Tamandua tetradactyla: one gene and its partner. The protein of the gene in region 1 interacts with the protein of each later gene in a pairwise test. Links are inferred from orthologs where the notes say so. Each region holds a gene or a part of one and is shown on either strand. Other genes may lie near its edges.

Region 1 (7,584 bases):
ATTCCCCCCCAAAAAAACACAAAATTTTCCTTTGTTCTATTAAACTTATAAGAATTAAAAGACTATTCACATGCTATGAGATCCAGAAGCAAAACTAACAAAAAACTGCAGCTCAATTTCCCAACTACAAAATAAATCTATAAAATTTGCCTCAGGCTACTCTTAGAAGTTGGAAACTGGACTAAAATTCATGTTTTCCAAACTCTTAACCCAAAATATTTTCTTCTTCTTCACACATGAGGAGAATAGGCTGGCCTGCACCAAAACTTTATTAGTTCAGAAATCCATCACTATTATGTACAGAAGTCACAATGCCTTCTTTTCTTATTTATCTTATATAAAACAAAAGTGAGTCGTGTGGTATATCTGCAGACAAATGGAGGTAGAGCTATGAAGAAACAGGATGTTTTGTGAATGCTATTGTTGCTGTACCTTAAGAAGTAAATTATATCTACATATTAAAAAAAAAATTAAGCCCTTTTGATGTAACCATTTAAATGCAGCATAGCACATTCTCTTTTTCTTTTTTTTTTTACATGGGCAGGCACTGGGAATCGAACCCGGGTCCTCTGGCATGGCAGGCGAGCATTCTTGCCTGCTGAGCCACCATGGTCCACCCAGCATAGTACATTCTTAATCAAATAACATTTTTCAAAATGGCACATTGGTGATTTAGAAGGTATGGTGATTTTTAGCTGTATGTACCCCAGAAAAATGTGTTCTTAAACCTAAACCATTCCTATGGAAGTGAATCCATTGTAAGTAGGTATTGTTGATGACTTTATTTCAGTTAAAGTGTGGCCCACCTCAATCAAGATGATTCTTAATCCTATTACTACAGCTCTCTATAACAGGATGAAATTCAGACAAAGAGAAAGCCACAGAGGGAACAGCCAGAAACAGAGAATCTGGGAAACCTGGAAGAGAAGGGAGAGACCAGGAGACACTGCCATGTGCCTTGTCACATGACAAGCTAAGGACCAAGGATAAGGGATCTCCAGCAGTTGCCTCAGAATACCACAGTCTTTGGGGAGAAAGCATTGCCTTGATTTGGACTTTCTTTTACCCTCAAAACTGTAAAATAATAAATTCCCATTGTTTAAGCCAACGAATTCATGGTAATTGCTTGAGCAACTAAGGAAGCTAAAACAGGAGGTTTTTATTTTTCTCTATTTTTTTGTAAAGAGCATTCCAAATTGCAAAGTAATTAACTGAGCCACCAAGGCAGAGACAGGACAAATGCTAAAATCAACATCTATCATTTTACTGAAATGACTGCTCAGCAGGTATTAAACTTCCCAGGTACCTGAATGGGGCAAAAAGTACAAAAGGGAAGGGTTTGAGTTGGAGGGTCCTAGCCTCAAATCCTTCAAGGAAAAAGAGCTGAATTCTGGTGGCTATGAATGTGAAATGCTAAGCACTACTTAGAGTTTTCTTTCTGGGGCAGAATACGTTGGTGGGAATGTCAAGGGTAAGTTTGATTCCTAAAGGCCATATGGTAACATGGGTACAAGGGTACAAGAGTGTTACCATTACTCTTCGCAGACTTTTTGCATGGTCAGAAGAACCAAAAGGCTCCTAACAGAATAGTTATTATGTATTTTCCCTCCTACTCTCCCAATAAATTTTCACTTCAAAAGTTTCTGATGATTCCTATTTCCAATAGTCTGCCATGCTCGGTTCATGATAGTAAAATGACAAACATATATATCCTGACATATTTTTCTATCCTAGGGAGGAAAGGCAGATACTGACCTTATACACCTTCTGCATTGAGATCAAGATCCAGATTATATATAATCCATTGTGCTCATCCCACGACAATTTTTAATTGCGAATACACTGATGTTTAAAAGTACAACTAAATAGTCATCATTTGACTCTTCCGAATCCATTTAAGGTGGTGGTCACATCTCCTAGGTAATTAGTCCCTCCTAATTTCATGATGCTTAATGAGTTGGTGTTTCACTCACTGTAAATGACAGGCAGGTCCCCAGGTTATTTTGAATCCTGTATGATGGGCAGAACTCCACGGAAAACACCAATCCCTGCACTAAGTAGGGATCAGGAAGTGATCTTCTCCAAAGCATCCCATATTCTACAATTTTATAAAGTTAAGACAAAAATGTGTGTAAAATAACCAGTATTTAATATTATATAAGCTTATTGTACAGAAAAAAGACGCCTCATCTAAAAATAACAGGATAAGTAAGACCCCTTCTCTGATGTGGACCTCGGAAGGCTGAATTTTCAGTGATGGCCGGGCAGAAAAAACTAAGGTGTTTGAAGCCTGCTTACTTTTTTCTTCGACGTTCTTCCTTTCTTCTTCACCATTCTGAGGACAGCACTGAAAGGAGAGGAGGTGTGACAAACACATTAAGACCCAAGTTCTGGGTGGAACTCAGGCAGGGTTCTACTGGACGGGCGAGCAGTCCCAGACCCCTTCCTTGGTGCCCTCCTGAAAGGTTAGAATGGTCCGATGCCGCTTCAAAAACGACCACCTCCCTGGGAGGTCTGTGCCATTTCACCGGGTCTGCCAGAGCCACTTCATCGGGCTGCCAGGGCCACGTCACCAGGACAAGATGCCTCGGGAGATCCATGCCACTTCACTAGGATTGCAAGGGCATCTCCCTCGGGACCGCCCGTGTCACCTACCCGGATTGTAGGGTCTCTCACCAGAACTAACCCTTTCGGGAGATCTGGGCCACCAATGCCACCTCCCTGGGGATTGTGGGACCATCTCACCGGAGTGGCCCGGGCCACCTTACCGAGGTCACAAGGGCCATCTTCCCGGGACTACCTCTCTCGGGAGGTTTCTGCAACCTTACTTTGACCCCTCACCCGGACGTCTCACCGGGGCTGCGGGCGTTTCGCCGATCTCGTCAGCCGTGAGCATCCCGCCTCCGCGCGTGTTCTCGGCTTGATGCGCAGCCAGTGTGGACTGTGGAATACAGCCCGGGCCAGAGACTTTGCCGGGACGAAAGACCAGATCAGTCTTACAGACTTCAATTCTGAACACCAAACGCCACCGAGACTTCCTCCTACCGTCTCTCTGGTTTCTTCCTCTCCGACTAGAGAGGCCGGGTCCGCGCAGTCGCGGGCCGCGCGGCGTAGCTCCCCCTGCCGGCCAGGAACTGAGTCAGCCGCCTCTGTTGCAGGGAGTAAGGTTCCTCTCAACCATGGTAAAGCCCCGTACGCGGCGTTGGGGCGCTCTATTATGCAGCTTGACGATACTCCTCCCTCCACGCCACAAATTCAGTATAAAGTATTTAAATTTACATTTAAGATGATGTCCTTCGTTTTTCTGCTTCCACTTAAAGATGTTCCGAAAGTGTGAGCGAGCTTGTCGACTAGGAGCCGTTAGTTTGGGCTATTTAGTTGGGGGAATTTCCAATGTCAGTATTTTTGGATCTTTCTTTTGAGGCTGGTCAGGTTTTCTTCGGATGATCGTCCAATTTCCTGCCTGGAGGATGCAGATCTGATTGTAAGTGTTCTGAGAGCTGAACGGAGGAAGAGGTCGCAGCACCTAACATCTAACATACACTTTGCCCAGTGCAGACACAAACACACACACATACGCACACAAATTATCTTTTGACAAGAAAGAGAAAGAGGAGTTACCTAGTGGCAAGGAGTAGAGAGAGGACCTGGGGATTTGACAATTTCACAAACAAACTAGCACAGAAAATAGTACGATAAAAACCAAAACACAAGGGGGTGGGGACAACTTGCTTGAGCAATTAAGAAAGCTAGAGGAGACAGAAACCGTTCAATGAGGAGAACACTAAAAAATATATTATGAATATCCTGAGAGGGGTATGAGATACCATCACAACCATAAAAAAAAAGAGCAGATTTTTTTTAAGTAGCATTCAAAGACAAGCAGCTATACATATGATAGCAGAAATGAAAAGTTCAGTGAAAGAGTTGGAAGATAAACGTTGGGAAATATCCTTTAAAAAAAAGCAGAAGAACAAAGAGATAGAAAATTGAAAAGAAAAGATAAATTAGAGAACCAGTCCAAGGGTTCCAAAACTAAAAATAAAACTTCTGAAAGGGAAAATGAGAAGAGGTAAGCATGGAGGAGATCATCAACAAAACAATTCATGAAAATTTCCCCAGACTGAAAGTCATGAGTTTCCAGATTGAAAGGGCCCACTAAGTGTCCAGGCTCATCACTGTGAAACTACAGAACATGGGGGCCAAAAAGATGATCCTAAACCTCCAGAGAGAAAAATAGATAATTTACAAAGTTAATTTCTCAACAAATCTTTGGATTTCTCAACAATAACAAAGGAAGCTAAAAACAGAGAAGCAATTCTCATTTCAAAAGGAAAATTATTTCAAACTAAATCCTATACTTGATTGAGCTGAAATAAAGATATGTTCACATATTCAAGAATTAAAAAAATATATGTTTCATTTATCTCTCCTTTCTCAGGAAGTAGCAAGAGGTTGTACTCCCCTAAAATGAGGGAGTAAACAAGGAAAAGAAGACACAGGATATAGGAAATAGAAAATAAACAATGGAGAAAAATAAAGTGAATTGCCATAATTGTGCACTAGGCATAGAGCCACACAGGTCAGAAGGTTCCAGAAGAGATTCTTCAGAAAGAAGAAATTGATAGAACAGTTCATGTATCTCATCCTCTGGAGGGGGAGATTTCAACAATTAGTAGAGAGCTTGGATTTGGAATGATGAATAAGTAAACCAAAAGAAGATCATTAACTATAGAAAAAAACAAAAGCTTGAAGGAAAAGTGAAGTAATCATGGTTTATTACTTACCTAAGATGTGAATAATGTTTACCTCATCAAAATGAAGTAAACAAAGCTCTAAAAACAAGCACAAAAGAACTTTATTGGACAGATAGAGATATGAGAAGTGTGATGAAGATAAGGGAAAGGAAGAAGAACCAAATCCTCATTTTCCATTAAGTGAAGTCAATAGATAATGTTATGTTTTCAAACGATAGCCAACTGAAAAATCAGAGGAACTGAGTCCAAGTTTAAAAAAGTTTATTATCCTGGGGGAGTTCCCGGGTCCAGGTGCTCAGGGTGCGGGCGGGGAAGTCACGCCCCCCTGGGGGCGGTGGGGTTAGATAGAGGCTAGCTAGTGGGGGTGCTGATGATGCCTACGGGGCCCCCTGTGGTAGGTTAGGAGTTTCGGGGGCTTTAGGGCCAGGGGCATAGGTATGGGACTTGGTTGGTGGATTTCCAATGAATGGAGGTAGCCTAAGGGTACAACCACTGAGAGAAGGAAGGGGGAATTGTGGTATATACGTACAACTGACTGAGTGGCTGCAAGGATGAATGAAATTGTAAGCCCTGCAACTAGGTGAATGAAACTTAAGGGCAGTATGTTGAATCAAATGGCAGAAACAAAAAGAAATATGATCATGCCTCACTCACATGGACTGGCTATACTATATAAACTCAAAAAATTGAATCAAGAGCATGGGTTGTCAGGTTGGGGCCTATTGTAAAGGGTTCTAAATTATAAGCTCTTTCAGCAGTCACACATATTCAGGAATTGTAACTGTTATTTCTAAATTCTGAGATACTTAGCTAATTGAGTATAACCTGGTCATTCCCTGAAACTTCGGGTATGTTTATGACACCTGAAACTCTGTGTTAGAGCATTGAAGCTACAGAAGTCAGCATTACCCTATACAGCAACTGTTTAAAAAGTTGAAAAAGTGATCAGATTTCAACTAGAGATATGAATGAAGCTGACTTGGATAGAACTAAGGTAAATCAGAATATAGGGTAAAGGATAATATGGCCCATATTTTAAAACTTCAACTTGAGACCAAAGGGAGAATGTTTATTTGGTGCAAAATTTATATTTTGGGTAGTGCATTTCCTAATTTAATTTGTATGATCAGTTTATTTAAACACCATAATTACATGGAATCATGAATAGGGCATGAGATCCTGTTGGTTTGTACAGCTTAGTGTGATGTAACACTACATCCCAGAGTAATTTGGGCAGAGAATAAAAATGTATTTGCAAAGTCCCCTTGGGGTACTGGGGAGAAAGGAGGAGACATTCAACTTCCCCATCTGGGGAATTCCTGATATTCTCACAGCAATGGGAACAACAAATTCAATAGGCTGAGGCCTCAATCTTGGGGCTCACCCCTATGGAGCTTATTCCTGCAAAGGAGAAGCTAACCCCACTTACAATTACGCCTAAGAGTCTCCCCCAGAAAACCTCTTTTGTTGCTCCGATGTGGCCTCTCTCTCTAAGCCAGAGAGGTGAACTCGGCAGGTGAACTCACTGCCCTTCCTCCCTACAGGAGACATGACTCCCAGGGGTGTAAATGTCCTTGGCAACATGGGACAGAAGTCCATGGATGAGCCAGGACCCAGCATAATGGGATTGAGAAAACCTTCTTGACCAAAAGAGGAAGCGAGAAATGAGACAAAGTTTCAGTGACTGAGAGATTTCAGAGTTGAGAAGTTATCCTGGAGGTTGTTCTTAAGCATTATATAGATAACCCTTTTTGGTTTATGGTATACTGGAGTGACTGGAGGGAAATACCTGAAATGGTTGAGCTGTGTTCCAGCAGCCTTGATTCTTTAAGAAGACTGTATAACAATACAACTTTTACAATGTGACTGTGTGATTGTGAAAATCTTGTCTGATGTCCCTTTAACCAGAGTATGGACAGATGAGTAAAAAAAAAATAAGGATAAAAATAATAAATAATAGACGGTGCTCTAGTTTGCTAGCTACTGGAATGCAATATACCAGAAACAGAATGGCTTTTAAAAAGGGGGACTTTTTATTAAGTTGCAAGTTTACAGTTCTATGGCTGTGAAAAATATCCAAATTAAGGCAAGTCTATAAAAATGTCCAAAATAATGCACCAACAAGAGGTTACCTTCACTCAAGCAAGGCCTGTTAAGTTCAGGGTTTCTCTCACACCTGGAAAAGCAACTAGAAAAGCACATGGTAAACATGGCGACGCCCACTGACTTTCTCTCCAGGCTTCTTGTTTCATGAGGCTCCTCCAGGGCATTTTTCTTTTTCATCTCCAAAGGTCTCTGGTTGTGTGGGCTCTTATGGTTCTCAAGTTTTTTTCCAAAATGTTTCTTCTTTTAAAGGATTCCAGTAAGCTAATCAAAACCCACCTGGAATGGGTGGAGTCACATTTCCCTCTATTCAAAGGTTAATACTCAAAATTGGGCGTGCACATTTCCGTGGAGGTAATCTCATCAAATTTCCAACCTGCAGTGCTGAATAGGGATTAAAAGAAAGGGTGCCTCCCCAAGATAGAATAGGATTAAAACATGGCTTTTCTAGGGTACATACGCCTTTCAAACACGCACGGGGTGGGGGGGGATAAAGGGTAAAAATGTGGGTAGACTGAAGTATGAGTGGTCAATGAGAGGGAGAGGTAAGGGGTATGGGATGTATGAGTTTTTTCTTTTTATTTCCATTTCTGGAATGATGCAAATGTTCTAAAAATGGTCATGATGGTGAATATGCAAATATGTGATAATATTGTGAGCCACTGATTATATACCATGTATGTACTGTATATGCGTGACGATTTCTCTATTTTAAAAAATATTT
Region 2 (7,111 bases), on another chromosome or scaffold:
ATTATAATTTGTCATAGAGGAGCAGTGTTAAAATATGGGATTTTATTACTGAACTAGGACTCAACATTGAAATAAATCACTGGTCTAACCATTAGTGTCATAGATGCAAAAAAAAAATACAACCACTCTAAAAACCTAAAAGTAGTATCACCAATTCTAAACATAGGACATAAATATATGGCATACATTGATTATAAAGTGATGTGTAGTACAAAAATAGAATAAATGACTTAAAACTAAAATATTTATTATCCTTAAGTACTTCTACCTGTCATCTTGGAATTTAGAATGCTGCTAGGGAAATAGGATGACAACGGATGACACAAGCCTCCTTAAAAAATTGTCCAAATATTTTTAAACTTTTGATATGTTTTCCTGAAACAAGCAGAGGCATTCATTAACCCCACTGATGCTCCAAGTGTTTCTGATGCTCCAAGTGTTTCTGATGCTCCAAGTGTTTCTTCGCAGAAAACATTTTTAAAAGAGTAACTAACCTATTTTATGGCCCCTTCAACTTCTCAGTTTATTCAAAGCTAAAATTGTAAGGGCTTAGCATCAAACCAAAGGTTATTCTGCCAAGCACTTATTGGACTTGCTGTTGTCAGAATACTTTGCACTTAATGAGAAAACTATAGAAGATCTACCTCGTCACTGGCAAAAATTTTAATAAGAATTGATAATGCACTTTTGACGTTGCTGAGAATGCCAAAAGGAATGAGGATACATCGATATAAATTATTTACAAAGCAGAAAGCTATCCTTAAAGGTGCTTGCTCTGGCCTTAAAGGTGCTAGTTCTAGAAAGAACTCTTAAGTTAGCAAAATGAAATGAATCACACATCTGTTTTCGTCTAACCTCTTCAAGTTGGCTTTCTTGAGTTAGTTTGAAGTATGGGTGTTTGGTAAGTGGTTAGTGTTAAGTTAGGGTCAGGTATTTTAGTTAACGTGGAGGTTTGTGGAACACCCTGTTTACTAGCAAGAGTTAATTAAATGAAGAGGGAGTTAAGGGATGCTGGTCACACAAACATCATGGAGGACCGCTGAAAATAAGCACCCTATCTTTTCATCCCAGCACACCATGAAAGGTATTTAACCATAGCAATGGATTCCCAAACCTTCCCAACCTGGTTAGTTTAACACCTGAGAGAACTTGCTTTAGCGCTTACTTAAGCAGTGTTAGTTTAGGAAATATTTTGGTTAATCTTTGGAGCATCCTGTCCTTGTAGGCACCAATTATGCCTTCTTTGCATTCGTTGTCGCCCCCGAATTAAACATTCCAGATACCACTGTTCTTGCTGCAGCTGCTGCTTCCTGTATTTTAACTGGCTTTGAGAAGCCTCCAACTCCTGGCATTGCTGAAGGAGCTGCAGTATTTTCTTCTGTAACTGTTGGCTCTCTCTGTTAATGCCACGGTAAAATTCAAGAGTATACTGCTTTGTGGTCCACTCCAAGGCCTGGTTTTTCCTCTTAACCTCCCTTTTATTTTTCTTTCCCAACTGCCTTACGTCTGGCTCGCTCAATTGTTTCTCCAGTAATGCTTTTTCTTGGAGCAACTGGGTCTTTGTTTCCTCTATCTTTGCAGTTGCCTTGGTTTCGGCTTTCTTTTTTGCATTCTGTAATGTCTGCACTTCTGCCTCCTGTTTTTCCTTTGTTATAGAAATGCCCCTCATTGCTTCCAACTGCTGCTTCAAATTGAATTGGATCTTTTCTTTCTGCAAGAGCTCTGCTTTAAGTACTGAAATCTGTTTTGCGTATTTGGAGGCTGATTCTTGCCTATGTCTTTCAATCTCCCCACTTTTTTGTAAAAAGTTGTTCCACAGCTTCTTAGGTTGCCTTTTATATTCCTCAGTTTTGTTGGTCAGGTATTCCAGAAAGAATTTGTTTTCAGCCTGGACAAGTGTCTTTTCAGTGTATAGATGCCTGTTGTCTGCCAGGAGCTGTTCCTGCTGGATTTGAGCTTGTTTTATTTGCTCCTTCAACTCCTTTACTTCCACCACTGTCTTCTCTTTAAGTATCATCTCAGCCTTTATTAGATTCTCTTCTTTGGAAAAACCATTTTTTAAACCAAGATAAGGTCTTGAAGAAGGCCTTCTGGGACTTTCAGCAAACCTGAAGGAGGAACAAGTGAGACAATCCCCCATCAATTCTTAATGGACATTTAGGAAATAATTTTTTTTAAACGCACATTTGTACTTTAATTCATACAAGAAAGTAATTTTGAGCACCGCTTTGTGTTCTGGACACTGGAAAGCAAGGGGAATACGACTACGTGTAAAGATGAGGTACAGTATTTTTCGGTTTACAATACTGGATCATTACAACCCTGGGAGGTTATTAATTTTAAAGATGAGAAAACAGGTTCAGATTATTTGCCCAGCAAGTGGCAAAGCCTGGGTGTGGAACCCGGAACTCACTGAACACTTTGAGAGCCACCGAAACTGGCTTGGGTAAGGTCTGAGTAGGAATAATTTTTCTCGGCTCTTGCGTCACCTTTCCCGAGCCCCCTCTGAACTCACTCGTGCCAGGAATACACGCGTTCATCCCCAGGGTGATGGTAATTGTGTAGTTTACTGAAGGCGATAGCCGAGAGGCGGGCGCTAGTGTCAGGGGCCTGCGACAAGCCGGGACGGCATCCAAATGCAGAAAGTTTTCGCAGTTTCTCTGTTTTGTGCTCGGTGTGTCTCGGCGATGCCCAGCAACTCCTATAGTCGCTTCCCGCCCCAATCTGGCTCCGTGCCACCGTGAGTTGTTTAACCTCTGCGGTTACCGAAGAAGCCCTGGCAGCCAGTCCTCTCGCAGCTCTGCTCTCGGCTTCTTGGGGGCCGAAAGTGAAACCCACTCTCCTCATTTTCCTACTGCGGGAGCCCTGCCCTCGGGCTCCCGTCTCCTCTCGCCCTCCTGGGAACCAGGCTTTCCACCTTTTCCTGGCCCCTGCGGCACGCCTTTTGGTCTCCTAGCGGCCCCACTTCCCCACTGTCACCAGTTGGCGCCCCAGCCGGTCCCGCCCCTGCATGCCCTTCTCTTCCGGGCCCAGTCGGCTTTACGTCCATTCGCAGCCCAGAGCGTCGCGCAAGTCTCTCTAGCCTCTCATCGTCTCTATCGTCGGGCAGGCGGAGCTAGTAGGAAAATGGCGGCCCCCGCAGCTGCAGCTGAGGCTCAGGCGTCAGGTGGCCCGCATCCTCCAGTCTGTCTGTTAGTGTTGGGAATGGCAGGATCTGGGAAAACCACCTTTGTACAGGTAAGTATACGGCGCGGGTGTAGTAACATGTATGCGAGAGGTTGTCCGTGGCGGGCCAAAGTCTCAGGGAGAAAGGGAGTTTTCTGGGGAGTTGGAGGTAGCGACGCGTGGCTTTGGGGGACTTCTCAGCCTAAGTGACTTGCTCCACGAAGTCTTATCGGAATTTAGCCTCGGTCAGTTAAGGCTCTCTTTTGTATACCCTCAATGCTCAATACATACTTGGTACAACTTACCAAGTTATTCCCGATAAAATTGTGAAGTTCTCGTAGGTAGGGATTTTACTGGCAGCTCTAGCGATTAACAGGTTCTCGGAGATTTGTTCAGGAATTATTTATTGCCCACTACCTTGTTCCAGGAACTGGGGATACGGTGAAAATGAGGTTGACGAAGTTCCTGCTTTCATGGAACTAATGTTTTTATATTTTGGTGGGGGAGTCAGAAAAACCCACTCCCGTACACAGAGAACAAGTGCTAGAGAGCACGGGAGGCTCTTGTATGGATAGAAAAAGACAGCATTTGGACTGCGAGCTGAATGTTGGAGGTGAGCATCTGGGCGGATGTTTCATGTAGACGGAAATGAAAGTGCAAAAATGCCTTTAGGCATGGTCGATAAATGACTGGAATTTTTCTCATCCCCTTATATCTTCTTCCACCTCCCCTCCCCATGTCTGCAGAGGCTCACAGGACATCTGCATAGCCAAGGCTCTCCACCTTATGTGATCAACCTGGACCCAGCGGTGCATGAAGTCCCTTTTCCTGCCAATATTGGTGAGTGAACCATGGAAGAACTTGTGTGAAATGCCTTAAAGGGACTGGAAAGCCTGAGCCTTGCTTTCTTCAGTGCCTTCATTTTTTATCTTCTCTTAACTATCTACTTTCATTTCCCTTGGAGTCACTGGAGTTCCTGTCCAGGCTTCTTCTTTATTCATGTTTTTTTGTTGTTGTTTATTTTTTGCCTTTCCTGCATTTCTTTACCTCCTTCCCACTCACCTTTATCACTTCTCTTTCTGACTCTAGTGTGCCAGGCTATTTTAATTTGGGAAAATGAAGTGATGTAAAGTCAGTCTTTTCACTTCTAGACTATAAACCTTTCAGCAGATTCTGATGCATAAATATTTTCTATTTAGTGTCTCAAAGTTTAGTTAGAACGTAAGTGTTCTTATGCTTCAGTTCACTTGCTGATCTATAGGAATCTTGCTCCCACTCCCCTAAATGTGTGTGTGTGTGTGTATGTGTATATATATATATGTATAAAGCTCTGGGAAGAGTTTCTTAATTTTCCTGTGATTCTAAGAAGAGTCTGTGATTCCAAAAAAGGTTAAGAATGAATTTAGTCCTGTGTCCTGATTCTTGATAGGATCTAGACTTTGATTTCTAGGCCATTGCTGTGTGCAAATCCTATTCCTCCTTATCTCTTCTTAATCCTGAGTAAGCTTTGTGTACTCCACACATATTAATGAAAGGAATACTGGATTAAGAAGCAAGATAATTCTGGGAAGAGTGAAAAAAACTGCCCATCTCATTTTAAGGATGAAGTTCTAATAGTTGATAGGGGAAGTCTATAGACTGCTGGATGGGTTTAATTAGATATTACTGGACATATTAAATCTTATTAAAAAATCATGTCTTCGTTGTCTTTGTCACTAGTAGATAATTAGAAGGAAATCATCTGTTTTTTTTCCCCTTGATCTAGCACTCTTTTTCTGTGCCTATGGCCACTAATATGATATTTAAGTCATACAAAATTTTTTACCTTGTCTCATCTCTACCATGCAGTTTGAGAGCTCCTTTACTAACATTATTTATAGATTACGTGGCAGTTATCCTTTGTATGGAAGGAAACCAATGTGAGGGTGAAGAAATTGGAGAAAGCCAACAAAAAAAGCCTAGAAATCTAGTTTCAGTTTCTTACTGGTACGAAAGTTGCTGCCAGGGTACCTTTTGCGCTTCTGTTCTTTTTCCTCATGGTCCTGCTTCTTTTCTTATCTCAATTCAGTGTTCTTATTTAACAGTTTACATAAATGATATGAAAAGTAACTCAGATACTTAATTTTTCCTCAGAGGAAGCAGAGATGACTTTTTCTGACTGTCAGTTTAGGATATTATAGGAGGGTCTCAAACTATATTTTTCTTACGTGTTAAATTTCAGTTAATTTTCCCTCCAGATATTCGTGACACTGTGAAGTATAAAGAAGTCATGAAACAGTATCCTTTTCTATGTCTGCTTTGATGTTGACTTGTCCCAGATCCATTATTTTCTGTATATTTTATGACTTTGTAAAGAATATTTTTACCTTTCCTTCTGAAACACAGGCGCAAAATCATTAGATTGTTTTAAAGTGATTTTATTAGGAGGAGATAGTAGATGGGTGTGGGAGAAGTATTATAGATGATCAAGATAATAATTTTAGCTTGTGATTTCAGTTTTCTTACCATCTTCCCAGATTGCTCGCCATTGTAATGAGAGAGCAGTGAAAATGAGAGACTAGCTGACTGCCTGCCCTGGATCCTACCAGGTAGCATTGCACTAGAAGGTACACCCCATTTGATCACCACTTCTCCTGACTGGGAAATTCAGAAATCAGTAGGCTTGGTAGGATTCACTCTTAGTACATTGCTGTATGAAATGTTCTCTCTCCCTGTGGGTTATTCTAGGTAAGAAGACTAATTGTAACCAGCAAGTTGCTTGATTAGTCAGAATCAGAGTAAGAAATGTTATAAAGATGATTGTTTTGGTTTGCTAAAGCTGTTGGAATGTAATATACCAGAAATAGGTTGGCCTTTACACTTGGGATTTATTAACTTACAATTTACAATTCTTAGGCTGTGAAAATGTCCAGCTCAAGACATCAACAGGATAACACCGGGACACGGAAGGCCAGCTGCCAGTATCCAGTACACCTCTGTCACATAAGAAGGCACATGGTGCCCAGGTCCTTCGATGTAGAGTTTTGTTGCCTTCAACTTTTGGTTTCCTTCCTCAGCTTCTGTGTCTTTTTCTGTGTGCTTCTCTGAATTCCTTCTATTAGCTTTCCTGACTTTTCCCTCTTTTATTCTCTCAAAAAAGAACTCCAGTAAAAGGATTAAGACCCACCCTAGGGCAGACCTCATCTGGAATAATCTAATCAAAAAGTCCTGCCCACAGTAGGACTGCACCTACAGGAATGGATGAACAGAACATGGCCTTTTCTGAAATACATGACAGCTCCAAACTGCCACCGTAGTGGCTAATGCTAACAGGCTGTCACTGCCTGGTGCTTCTGTCCATTGCATTTTTGTCACTTTGGTATTTTCATTTTGCTTGGCCAACACTAAAGGTGATAAATGAACAAAGGACCATGATAGTGAATGATTCCCTGTGAGGTTAAGATTGTATGGTACATAACTAGTTATTGGATTGTATTGCGAATATCCATTAATGGCACACTAATGCCATAATATTGTTTTTGTGACTGATAACTTGAGTATGGACTTTATAATCTAAATTGATATGTAAACAATTTGAATCCTTAACCTAGTGTGTAGGTATGGACTTGGGCCCAATGGTGGCATTGTGACCTCACTCAATCTCTTTGCTACCAGGTTTGATCAGGTATGTGTCTGTTCATATGGACATGGCTTTGCAAAAACTTGTGACTCTTAAATGACTTCATTTGAGCATAGTGGGAAAGAAGAAACATAAACCTGAGTATAACTGTAGATAATATGTGGGCATTTTATTAGGCAAATAAGTTTATGGGAGTATTATGTGTTTTCGTCAGTATTATGTGACAGCCAGTAGAACAAAAATAACAAAAAATCTGGGTTCACTTTTTAATCTGTTCCTCATTTGTTGTATTATCCTAATTGTGGATGGAGGAAGAGGGGAGTGGGA

What was found. The genes of interacting proteins can lie anywhere in the genome.
Region 2: the proteins of RINT1 (region 1) and CCDC121 interact in binary tests that used the Homo sapiens proteins (3 or more experiments, as listed by UniProt). The two-hybrid records come from large-scale screens. The link is inferred for Tamandua tetradactyla from reciprocal best matches to the Homo sapiens genes RINT1 and CCDC121.

The regions. Positions count from the first base shown.
Region 1 is NC_135327.1:143,943,503-143,951,086, reverse strand, and holds the start of RINT1 (RAD50-interacting protein 1), read right to left. Parts: upstream 3,092-7,584; 5' UTR 2,897-3,091; coding exon 2,855-2,896; exon of another isoform or gene 2,787-2,854; coding exon of another isoform or gene 2,769-2,786; intron 2,348-2,768; coding exon 2,299-2,347; intron 1,973-2,298; exon of another isoform or gene 1,756-1,972; intron 1,109-1,755; exon of another isoform or gene 852-1,108; coding exon of another isoform or gene 842-851; intron 1-841. UniProt on the Homo sapiens protein: Involved in regulation of membrane traffic between the Golgi and the endoplasmic reticulum (ER); the function is proposed to depend on its association in the NRZ complex which is believed to play a role in SNARE assembly at the ER.
Region 2 is NC_135329.1:11,550,317-11,557,427, forward strand, and holds the start of CCDC121 (coiled-coil domain-containing protein 121), read right to left. Parts: upstream 3,033-7,111; 5' UTR 2,848-3,032; coding exon 2,516-2,847; exon of another isoform or gene 2,109-2,515; coding exon 1,181-2,108; 3' UTR 1-1,180. Other genes in the region: GPN1 (GPN-loop GTPase 1), read left to right, coding at 3,127-3,237, 3,912-4,005, 5,403-5,442, 6,763-6,829.